Arabidopsis thaliana: one gene and its partner. The protein of the gene in region 1 interacts with the protein of each later gene in a biochemical or structural test. Each region holds a gene or a part of one and is shown on either strand. Other genes may lie near its edges.

Region 1 (5,611 bases):
AGTTACTTCTGTGGTTGATTTTGATGCAAACAGGTCGGAACAAGAGAGAAGAGAGGAAGAGCATCTACAAAGATGTGAAGAAGGAAGAAGAGATAGAGTCTTGGTCTGAATCGAGCCATCCTTGTCACAAAACAGCTGAATCTACAAGTGGGAGATTGACGCAGAAACAGGAGCTTAACTTGAGAAAGAAGGAAGCCGATAAAACCGAAAAATCCAAGACGAGTAAGAAGAAGAAGGTGGAAACTGTTAGTAACGACTCTGAAGCCGGTACTTCATCTCTTATTCCAGAATTCAAGCTCACCATAAAGAAATCACACCTTCTGTTCTTGGTAAGATTAAGCAAGACAAGACCAGTGACACACTGTCGAAATGGCTATGTATAAAAGTGTGTATTAATCTAATGAAAATCTGTGATTCAGGGGATCCCAAAGAAATTTGTGGATATGCATATGCCAACTGAGACAACGATGTTCAAGATTCATTATCCGAGAGGAAAGAAGTCATGGGATGTTACATATGTGGTCACTGATGTACAATCAAGATTCTCTGGTGGATGGAGTCGTTTGGCCAAGGAGTTAGGTTTACTGGTCGGAGATGTTTGTACGTTCAAGCTCATCAAACCGACAGAGATGCGTGTGAAAGTCTCCAAAGAATAGACACCATGACGATGATGATATTTTAGGTGTAGTTGCAGAATTAGTGAAGAACTTCGGAACAAGATTATGGTCTGTGATTCAATGTTAGGACTAATTTTATAATTTTGTTTTTCTACTTACTACTTAGGTTTGATTTGTATCCCAATGATGAATCTGAACTCCGTTTGAGTAAAACAGATTTATTCATTTTATTAAAGATTATTGTTGTAGTGTTTACATGATGAATGTGTATAGAGCTCGCTCCGGTCTCTTCTCTTTATTGTTTGACAAAGAAAACTTAAGTTACAAATAACTCCAGCTTCTTCCTTTGGCACATTGCCTCCATCTTCATCTACAATTGCTTGCAAAGGTGATCCGTTGAATACAACAATATCATAAGCCTCTTCTGGTCACTGAGATTTCTGAGCTAAGTTTGAGATGTTTATCCAAGAATCAAGCGTCTTGATAGCTTTCCCAGACGATTGTACTTCACGTGCCACGGTTACTCCTTCAGCTAGCGTTTGAACTCGGTTGCTAACCAGAAGAGCTGCAGCTGCGTTTAGGATCTGAAACAAGATTTTGAAAAAAAAGGATGAACAAATTGCAGAAGTTCAGAGAATGTTGAATCGGCAAATCAAAACATACCAATGAATCCGCAATTGCTCCACTTTCCCCTGAAAGCACACGTCTTAGCACATCCGCATTGTAGTCTGGACCTCCACCTCGCAAATCCTCAAGAGTACAACGAGGAATACCAAAGTCCACTGTCAAAAAGAAATAAGCTTCAATTTCATTAAGCTGCATCTGCAATATTCATTTTAGAGAAGGGATAAAAAGCTAGAGGAAACATTACATGGGTCGAATGAGAATTCTTCGATCTTTTCCGGAGTTACATCATAAACTAGTCCTCCTCCTGTTTTTCGTTAAGCCATGATTGGTTAATAATTGTTCAATAATAAAAGTAATCAATTTTGGGAAGAGATAATCTTACCTAACGGACTCATTTCGTCTAGACCACATGAATGAACCACCAGTGCTCTTTTCATTCCAAATCGTTGCAGTGCCTTTGCCATCTTAACAACCTATGAAACCACACAAGCAAATGGTAAGTAAATGTCTTGTTTTTGTTGATGAACAAACTAATTTCAGCAATAAGTAAATGTACCAGATCTTTGTGGTATACACCAACGACAGCATAAGAAACTCTAGCAGGATTAAGCATAGGTCCCAATATGTTAAAAACAGTTTTAATTTTAAGCTTTTTCCGAACAGGACCAACGATCTTCATAGCTGGATGATACATTGGTGACATCATAAAACCGATCCCCCCTTCTTCAACACATCTTTTAATGCCCTCTGGTCCCAAGTCCAGAACCACTCCTAGTGCCTCTAGTACATCAGCACTTCCACAAGCAGAAGAACTTGAACGATTCCCTTGCTGCAAAATAAGTATCCATTAGTTAGACGACCAGACGAAGATCATTTAGCATTAATGCAGATAGTCAAAATTTAAATATATCGTTTCTTTTAAGGATTTTCTCATTCGTTATACCTTTGCTACTTTTGCACCACAAGCTGCAGCAAGTATTGAAGATCCAGTTGATATATTGACTGTGTTTGCTCCATCACCACCTGTTCCAACTATGTCCACAGCATCAACTAATCCTTCCACTTTCCTGGCATGCTTCATCATTGCCCTAGCTAACCCCACAATCTACCCAATATCCGAATTAAAGTGAACGTTGAGTTAACTTATTGAAGTGCAGTAATATAGGATTATGTATACTTTTTTATTATAAGCCTAGATTGACTTAATGGATACTTACCTCTTCGTATGTCTCTCCTTTAGCTCTCAGAAGAACTAGAAAGGCACTGATCAGCGCCTCGTTTGCCTCATTCAGCAAAAACTCAAGAGATGATTCAGCCTCAGTTTCAGATAGATCAACCCGATCAATCAAGGTTTCAATCAACTGAAAGAAAAACAACAGAACAGAGCAAACGCAGTATGAGAACATAGTAACCCCATGATTTAAATCTCTCTCTTCAAAGCCATTGGAAAATCACCAAAAGTAAAACTCTTTTAAAACCTATAAAGTAGTACACTTTTACTCAAGTCAATAAAACCCATCAAGCAATTAAAATGAAATTCGAAGAACACACAGGGCCAAACATGTTTAGTCAGCATGAAGCCAATAACTCAACCCAACTCAGAAATACAGATACAGATATATAAAAACCCTGAATTGTTCACAAATCAAGAGACTTAGAAACAAGGGATCATCAAACCACAAACTTATCCTGAAAATAGAAATGAAGAGTCACCTGGTTGAAAGATTTAATGGAAGAAGGGCTAGCATTTGCACAAGCAGGTGGCAGAGCTTCAGCTGCACTAAATCCACCGCTCAAACCGAGATTCTGAGAGCAAGCGAAAGAGCTGCAGCAATTCAATGGATCAAGAGCACAATCAAATGACCACAAACAATTTCAAAGGATGTGTTTTTACTCTAATAAGCAGACACCTAAACCCAAAAATCGAGGCTTTACCTGCGACTAAAGGAAGATTGAGCATCCCCACGAATTGGGGAAACAGCTCCGATCGATGAGAATCGTCGCCGACTCAATGTCGGAAAAATTCTAACTCCGGTCAAGTTGCTTCTTCCGCAACTACTGGACGCATCATCTACGGCGTTGAACGAAGTTAAGATCCCTGAAAGCTTGATTCCGGAAACAATGGAGCTCGTCGTCGCCACCGCAATAACCATCACTCGATTGCTCAACCAACACAGTAGAGAAAAACTTGAACGAAGGAGAGATTTCTATGATGGTTCGTTCCTTCCTCTCTAATAAAGCAAAGCGCCTTAAACCAAATCTTAATTAACTTTTAACTTTTGGTCTTTTTGCTTATAAAGGGTTTCCAGTTTAGTACTCAGTATTTTATTTTTTTCTTGAAAAGTGTTTATTTTATTTTATTTTGGGTTTCATATGAATATATTTGTTGATTACTGAATGACTTAATGCTGCTTTGACTAATGGACCTTTGAAATTTCCAAATTGAGTTTGGTTGGTGGTAGTTGGTAATGCTTGGGCAGTGGATAACTCCTTTTGTTAGTCACCAACAACGATTTCCTTGTGTGCTTATTTCCGCACATTTACCACTCTGCTCAAAAAGTAGGTTCATCAATTTTGTCATACCAAACACTTCTTTGTTTTAGACATGGTCAAACACAGCACCTATAATAGGAAATCATATAAAAATCCATTTAGTGGCCCATTATAACCCAATAAGGCCCAACAAGGTTAAACGACCCAAACTATATATACATCCCCTCCAAAAAAAAAAACAATATTACATGAGCCGATCAGATAATGATGGTAGTCGCCGGAAGAAATTTAACACCGGAGAAGGTTTCCGATCACGGAAAATAGGATGCCGGAAGTAATAAAACCCTGACGCCATAGCCACCATCTTCGTCGGCACAAGATACAACACCAACGCCACAAAGAAACACAGCCCCACGAATATACCAGTCGCTCGTGGGTCACGCCACGTCACCAAAGCTTGCATCTTCTCCCCTTGCGCAGCCACTTCACCAAGAATCGTTTGAACTCTAGCTCCGACGTTTCGTAGCTTATCGTACCTCAACCGAACCATCTCCGGTGGTCGGTTGCTCGGTACGACGTCAAACTCCTCGTCGAGCTCGTCTCTATCAGCTGCATCAGCTAACGAGAGTCTTGGATCGAAATGTGGTAGAGCAGCACGTGACCTGAACCTATAATTCCACGCACCAATCACGAACAAGTAAAACGCTAATGTCGGTACGATAAGATCCGGGAACCAAATCAGCATCACGACAAGTGCGTGAACTAGTAAAGTTGATGTCGGATTCTTCCAGAAACGGGTGTCATCAACCCACCGCACCACGTCGACCATTCCGGCGACTACATTCACTATCCGAAGCCAATTTGCTCTGACTTTACGCATACTGAAAGTATGAGTATCGGCGTCGAGCATATACCGTACTATCTCCGGCCTTAAAGGCGGCTCAGATCGTGACAAATGTGCGGCCAAGATCTTCACTGCAGTGTTCCTCAACATATCTTCTTGAAACAAACTCAACGGTTTAATGTGATGCATCAAAGGCAATAACGGTTGAGTATACACGTGTAAGAAATCCAACGGTGGAGCTGTTCTCACGAATCTAACGGCCAATTCTATCTCTCCCAATTTTTTAACGCCGCCGTTAACTAACATCAGTAACGGATACGTATTTCTATACGCTTTACCAGTCTCCAGCGTCGATATACGTATACGTACTTTTCCAATTCTTAGATCTTGACGCGTGGCTTCTTTTCCACCGTCGACTTCGTATACTCCCCAGCTATCGAAGACTCCTATAGTCAAAACCGTACACGGATCGTATACTTTCCACGTGTACTGTTCGTTCCATTTCGGATCTAAAGAATCCGACACGGTTCGGGTACGGACCCATTTAGAACCGTATTTCGCCACCGTGTACGCGTCCGTTGATCCTTTTCCGTTAACCGTCTTCATCGGTAATAGATTTTTGCAACCGATTATACCGAGCTCGACGATTCCCACCGCTGGTTTCCATAACTGCCTCGCCGTAGGTCGGTAATCACTGCACACGTGCGCCGCCTCGTCCATCACGTGATAACCTCCGTCGAAGCAAAGCCTAATGTGAACTCTAGATCTGTTTCCTCTCTTCTCGTCGTTTGGATCTTCCAATCCTAACCATCTCGAAGCAACCAAGCGATCGTCGACGCGTCTCTCGATTGCGCTGAGTGGCACGCGAGCCATTCCGACGGTGACTGGTCCTTTCGATGTTCGATACTCCAACGTGAAAACAAGCTGATCGGAGAAAGGTTCGGCGGCTACGAAGAGTAGATCTTCGTTCCATGACGGAGCTCCGTTACGAGTAACGGCGGATTTGGTTTTCTGAACTTGGGAACCTAAC
Region 2 (5,881 bases), on another chromosome or scaffold:
GCTAAATATATTAGTTTTAAATCGGTAAATATATCAGTCATCATAACTTCTAATAAATTGAACGTTATCCTCTATTATCTCGTCCAGGTCCAAATGTAAACTTCAATATCCTTTTGATTTTATTGCTAATTGCTTTAAATTTTTTCACAAACTCCAATATTCAATGAAAGGCAACAGTTCAGTGAAAAAAAAAAAAAAAAAAGTGGGAAGAGCTTGCCTACTCAATGCTATCTGCAAATATTTGCGAACTTTAGTTCAACATCGACTTCTTTACTGGTTAGAGATCCAGGATTTTGTGCCTTTGTTTGTGGCTATAGCCTTTAAAAGAGGCTTTGAGACCAGCTTATTACTCTGAACGACCCGTATTTAAGGTAAATACCATAGCACACATACCACTCACAAGCACAAGCTTCTGTGTATTCTTTCCTAATATAGGACACATGTGAACCATAAACTGACCAAACATAGACCAGCTTGAGTAACAATTTATCCAACAATTGAATTCTCCAGCACTCCTAGAGTTTGGATGAGGTATATATATATCAGTTCGTTGTCGTTGTGATATGATAGGCCGAGCCATAAATCATATAGACAGAATAAAAATGTCACCAAAGATTTACAACAAATCCTTTACATTGTTAGAAAAAACCCAACCTTATTTCCAATTATAAAACTTTACATTTGAAAGAAAGAAAAAAAAAAACAAAGAAGAACTGAGACCAGATCTTCAACTATGTCAGAATCTTACAATATGGATCATCATAATAATACACAAAGGTTCTTTAGACCAAGAACCTGTTCAGATTAGAGAGCCTCTACCTGAGTGGATGGTGGCTCAGTCTGCAGTTGATGCATTAGGTGTTGTGACCAGTAAGCGTGTGCCTTCAAAACACGGTCCAGAAGTTCCTGTGGCACCGGCTCTCCTCTCCGCTGTTGTGGAGATATCCTTGCCGTGTGGACCAGCGTCTTCCACTTATCCTACAAAGGCAAAGACTCAATACCAAACTGTATATATTAAGGTTAAGAGTTAGTTAAAAAACTAACTAACCTTGAGATCAACATAGGTACGATGGTCTGCGTCCTCGAAAGCACGAACCTTCACATCTCTCCACCTGTAGTTTTCAAACACATTTTGTCAGCAACATGAAGAAGAGAAAGTGCTATTTCTTTGTTTTGTACCTTCCGGTTCCGAGTTTCTCAACGGCTTGGACCAGTGCTTCTACTTCAGTAACTGAGAAAGGTCGACGAATTCTGCGTTGTGCAGCTAGCTGCTGCTCAGTCCTTTTAAACTTACGGTTAGGAGGCCGAGGAGCCAGCATTGCTGCTGAGGCAACAGGAATCAAAGCTCTAGAATGATCACTTGTGCCTAGTTTCCCAAATGAGTCAGCTGGGGATGGTTCTGGCTCATGACTAGAATCCAACGCATTGTCGTGGCATAACGTCACATCATCACAGGCATGATCTGACAGATAACTGGCAGAGAGAAAACAAGGCCCTTAAGCCGCAAAAGATTGATTTTTTATCGATGTGGCATCTCTGAGAGTGAAGAGAAGAGTGAACCTGGATAACAGTGGTTGAGGGGTGGTCTCTAAGCTAGGTTCAAGGCTGAAACCAAGAGAATCCAAGTGGTTGTTCTCCTCAGAGATCCCAGTCTGAAGAAGAGTTTTGCCATCATCTCGGACTTTCTTTCCTTGAACCATCAGCCCGACTCGAAGTCCATCACCCAGTATGGTGGTCACTGCTTCCATCACCATCCGCTGACAACCCCGACATTACAAAAATACAAATATAAGTTCTTCTTGATCAGGATTTTCAGCACAACTAGGTTTTGTTATTACACCTTCAAGGAGCCAACAGTAGCAGTTTCTGGAATCTCTACGAAAAGCTCAGGCACCCTAAAAGACTTGATCCGCAGCTTCACTAAAGAGTAACAAAACAAAACAAAAATATTTCAACGAAACAATAAGCGAACAAAGGATAGATTGAGACTTGAGACTCCATTAAATTACCATGATGATCCCTTGACACAAAGGACGCATTTCGACTTTTCATGGAAGATATTGTTCTGCTTCCTGCGGATGAATTTGCAAAACCGTGTTACAACAGCAAAGACTTACAACATACTAACAAGAGAATGAGAAGATTACAAGTTTTGGACCTTTATGAGTCTTTCCTTGCAAACGGTAATCATCAGAGTTCGAGTCGTAAACACTGTCAAAGTATTTCCTTTTCTTGATGGGATAACTCCTCTGATGATGGTGCAAGTAATAACTCCTCTTTGAGCAATACCATGGCTTTGCATCTGCAAATACCAAACATCAAATCACAATAATAAAGATAGTCAAAACTAAAACAAAAGGCGATTTTACCTGTGTTGTTCTTCGAACCTCCTTTCCAATGTCTAGATGCCAATATCTTCCTAATTCTTCTGTCTCCAATACGAGGCACAGGCCTAGTCATACGAGTTCGAATGTAACCCGAAAAGTTTTCATCATCATCATTTCTACTAAACAAATTTACATCATCCCGAGACTCGTTGGGACTACCGTTCCCACATGCTCCCACCTCGGTACTACTGTTACTACCTATACTAGCTACAACATCAGGCTTTACATCACCACTCACACCCAAACTACTAAAACCCTCCACCTCCTTTCCTACTTTGTCACCTACCAACAAGTGATTAGGATTTGTTATCACAGAGCTAAATCCACACTTGCCATTGTCAAATAGGCTCGGGGATTCCGAATAAGGAACCGCCTTTACGGGGTTTTCATCAGCCGGGTATTCATTCTTTACAGTATTTTGTACAACTAGACACGCGTTTACCGGACTTTTGCTCTCGAGAAGCAAGCTTCCAGCTACGGTGGCCAATAAGTCAATCGCGCACATCTTATCATCTCCTGGTATCTTCTTTTCGTAAATGCGCTTCTTCTAGCAAAAATGTGAACAAACATGCGAGTGATCATTCATGTAACTGATAAATTCTTTAACAGCTAAACAGAGAATATAGCAAAGGGTCATTTACCCGGAGTGATCTCGGAGCTCGAGCTTGAGCAGGTAATTTGTAACCATCATCTCCAAATTCTAAGACTTTATGTGACACCATTACTTGGATGCATAACACAGATGATGTGATTGCCACAAGCGATAAGCAGCGAATAAAACTCACCAATCTGTAGTATATAAGAAACAAGAACCATAAGAAGACTCAATTCAATTCAAGAATCACAGATCGGTAATATCAAATCAAATCTGATAAACCATTCTAAAACCCTAATAAACACAAGATCCGAATTGAAGAACACAAAACGTAATTCAATTATAAAAAAGCTTCGATCTTTGAATTAAAGGATAAACAGATCAACTTAGAACAAAAAGAGAGACACTTTCAAATTCTCAGATCGGAGTTCACAGATCGATGAATGAGATGATTCTGATCATATAAGAAAACGAAAAATTTCAATCGAAGATGATGATAAGTTCAAAAAGATAACAAAAACCCTTTTAAGATCCAAACCAAAAGAACTTGAATTTGAAAATTCCAAATCTAAATTCACATAAAAAATGAATTTTTACTAAGTTTCTCGATGATCAAACAAACACAAAAACTTTTGACAAAATCGAGAACACAAAAACCATCAAAAAAAGTTTAAATCTTTCTCACCTTTCGATGAATCTTCAGTTCCAAGACAATATAGATATCTGAAATTTTTGACAATTTCTCCAGAAAAATGAGAGATCGGAGACGAAGGAATCAGAATTCTTTACGCACTTAATCTAAAATCTTTTCCCCAGTTTTTCCTCTAACCCATGTTTTTTTTACCCAAGAAAGTGATGGAAATTTTTTTTTTTTACTTGTATCAAACGTTACCTATATGATTTTTTTTTCCTTCAACACAAAGGATTTTATCAAATCTCTCTTTTTCGATTACCAAATTATAAACAAAAACCCTTATAAGAAGAACACGACCACGTCTTTCTTGCTTAAACCCCCATAGCCATATAACTCAACCAACCACCGGAGCTACCGGTATTACCAGACCCGTTGTTACCGGTTATAGCAAGTAAAACATTCACCTAAAGACTCGTTGCTTTTCCATGGTCGATGGCCCACGACACACTCGTAACTCGTTAAGTCCTTAGATCTTGACACGTGGTACTGATGTAGTCATCACATGGCTTTGGTTCGTAGCCTTTTGAGTAAATTTCGTCTTGTCATGATAATAATATTAACAAAAAAAAGAATTTCGGGAAAGGAAAAATGTATTTTTGGGTTTATGAGTATTATTTTTAGTTTATATTTGGAATATTCGTTTGTGCTTTTATGTTTTCCTTTTGTATTTTAATATTTTTATTTTTGAGGTTTTTCTTAATAGGAAGAAAATGATAAAATTCCCATAAATATATATATATATATATTTTTTTTTTTGGGCAACATTCCCATAAATATTTATGTTTTAGGAATCACGTAAAAGATAAGATGGTCCCTAGTTTGCTATATTGTATAATTATGAGGTAGTCGATTCATATTAAATGATATTAAATAAAACTGAATATGGTATATGAATTTCATAGTTTTAAAAGAAACATACTTCTTCCGTTTTCATGTTTTAGAACAAAAGTTTTGTATTATTAGATAAGTGTTTAATTTTTAATACAATACTAATTAGTTATTTGCTTTTAATGATTTATATTCTGTAAATTTTTATACTGAAAGAACCGTGTTTTTAGGTAGATAATAAATTACATTTTGATTTCTAAATAAACCAAACAAAATTAAAAGGTAATTTATGTACAAAAACCTTTAACATCATATTAAAATATATATATATTTGTAAAAAATTTATTTTGAAAATAAATGAAAATTTAATAATAATATGAACCATTTTACATAGTAAATGTGACAAGAAAACTAAAACGTAAAGATTCGTTCTCGATCTATAATTGAGTATGTGGGATTCTTCTCCTCAACTATAGCAAAGAGCGAGTTTGTCTTCAAGAACTAATTCAGTGTTTGAATTTGTTGTCAGCTCTAAGTATTGTTCAAATATTTCTCTGTACACTCTCATAATTTCATTTCATACGTCGATTTCTCTAACGTTTCACTCACCATTTTTTTTTTTTTCGTCACTCACCATTTTAATAAATCTGATAAGGGAACGAGTTTAAATTTAACAAAAGCTGAGAAGAAAAAAAAATCAAAAGTCAACATTTACGTTCAAGTTTCAAAATATTATATCCTGTGTTGGACACAAATTATTTTTTTTAGCCCCACAATCATTAATTTGAAAGAAAAAAAAAAAGGCCTACCCCTTTTCCTAAATTACAAATAAAATAATTATGTCATCTTATCCTATCTCGAAAAAGTTCGAAAGGATAAAAGGTGGGTGGTTTTGAATTTATATCATACGAACACCACCGTTCAATATTAAATCTGTTGGAGAGAAAAATAAAAAGAATATTCTAATATGCATACAACCAAACATTTACGCAATTTCATGCATAGAATAGTAAATACGTAATAAGAAAAAAGTACTGTATAGTTTATGTGTTTTTGAGGATTTAAGTATGATGGTAAAATTTGATAGACTTGTCAGTAAAAAATTTAGCTCAGTAAAGAGAATTAATCAGGTTCATTTTCTTATATTATATGTGATCTGGTCCAGTTAACATCTAACATTTGTACAACCCAGAGAAACATTTAACTTTTGTTATGGTTTTTTAATCTTTTTGAAGGGACATCACAAATAGTCGATGAACTTTTCTAAATTTAAAGTCAGGATGTTAAATACTTTTTCTTTGAGATAACAATTAACCAGTCAAAATAATAAGGGTTTATCCGTTAGCTTTGTCAATACGAGCTTTATTATATTTAAAA

Evidence for each region. The genes of interacting proteins can lie anywhere in the genome.
Region 2: the proteins of TRP1 (region 1) and TRFL1 form a complex in vitro, tested with the Arabidopsis thaliana proteins (one study listed by BioGRID).

The regions. Positions count from the first base shown.
Region 1 is NC_003076.8:5,955,116-5,960,726, reverse strand, and holds TRP1 (tryptophan biosynthesis 1), read right to left. Parts: upstream 3,648-5,611; 5' UTR 3,398-3,647; coding exon 3,180-3,397; intron 3,070-3,179; coding exon 2,958-3,069; intron 2,606-2,957; coding exon 2,462-2,605; intron 2,350-2,461; coding exon 2,188-2,349; intron 2,074-2,187; coding exon 1,801-2,073; intron 1,718-1,800; coding exon 1,627-1,717; intron 1,549-1,626; coding exon 1,489-1,548; intron 1,400-1,488; coding exon 1,281-1,399; intron 1,202-1,280; coding exon 1,046-1,201; 3' UTR 657-1,045; downstream 1-656. Other genes in the region: VDD (VERDANDI), read left to right, coding at 34-329, 420-656; AT5G17980 (C2 calcium/lipid-binding plant phosphoribosyltransferase family protein), read right to left, coding at 3,982-5,611.
Region 2 is NC_003074.8:17,150,870-17,156,750, reverse strand, and holds TRFL1 (TRF-like 1), read right to left. Parts: upstream 4,292-5,881; 5' UTR 3,668-4,291; intron 3,177-3,667; 5' UTR 3,110-3,176; coding exon 3,029-3,109; intron 3,005-3,028; exon of another isoform or gene 2,935-3,004; coding exon 2,370-2,934; intron 2,303-2,369; coding exon 2,159-2,302; intron 2,073-2,158; coding exon 2,010-2,072; intron 1,921-2,009; coding exon 1,841-1,920; intron 1,758-1,840; coding exon 1,561-1,757; coding exon of another isoform or gene 1,497-1,560; exon of another isoform or gene 1,474-1,496; coding exon 1,180-1,473; intron 1,113-1,179; coding exon 1,049-1,112; intron 979-1,048; coding exon 805-978; 3' UTR 511-804; downstream 1-510. UniProt on the Arabidopsis thaliana protein: Binds specifically to the plant telomeric double-stranded DNA sequences. At least 2 repeats of telomeric sequences are required for binding. Induces DNA bending.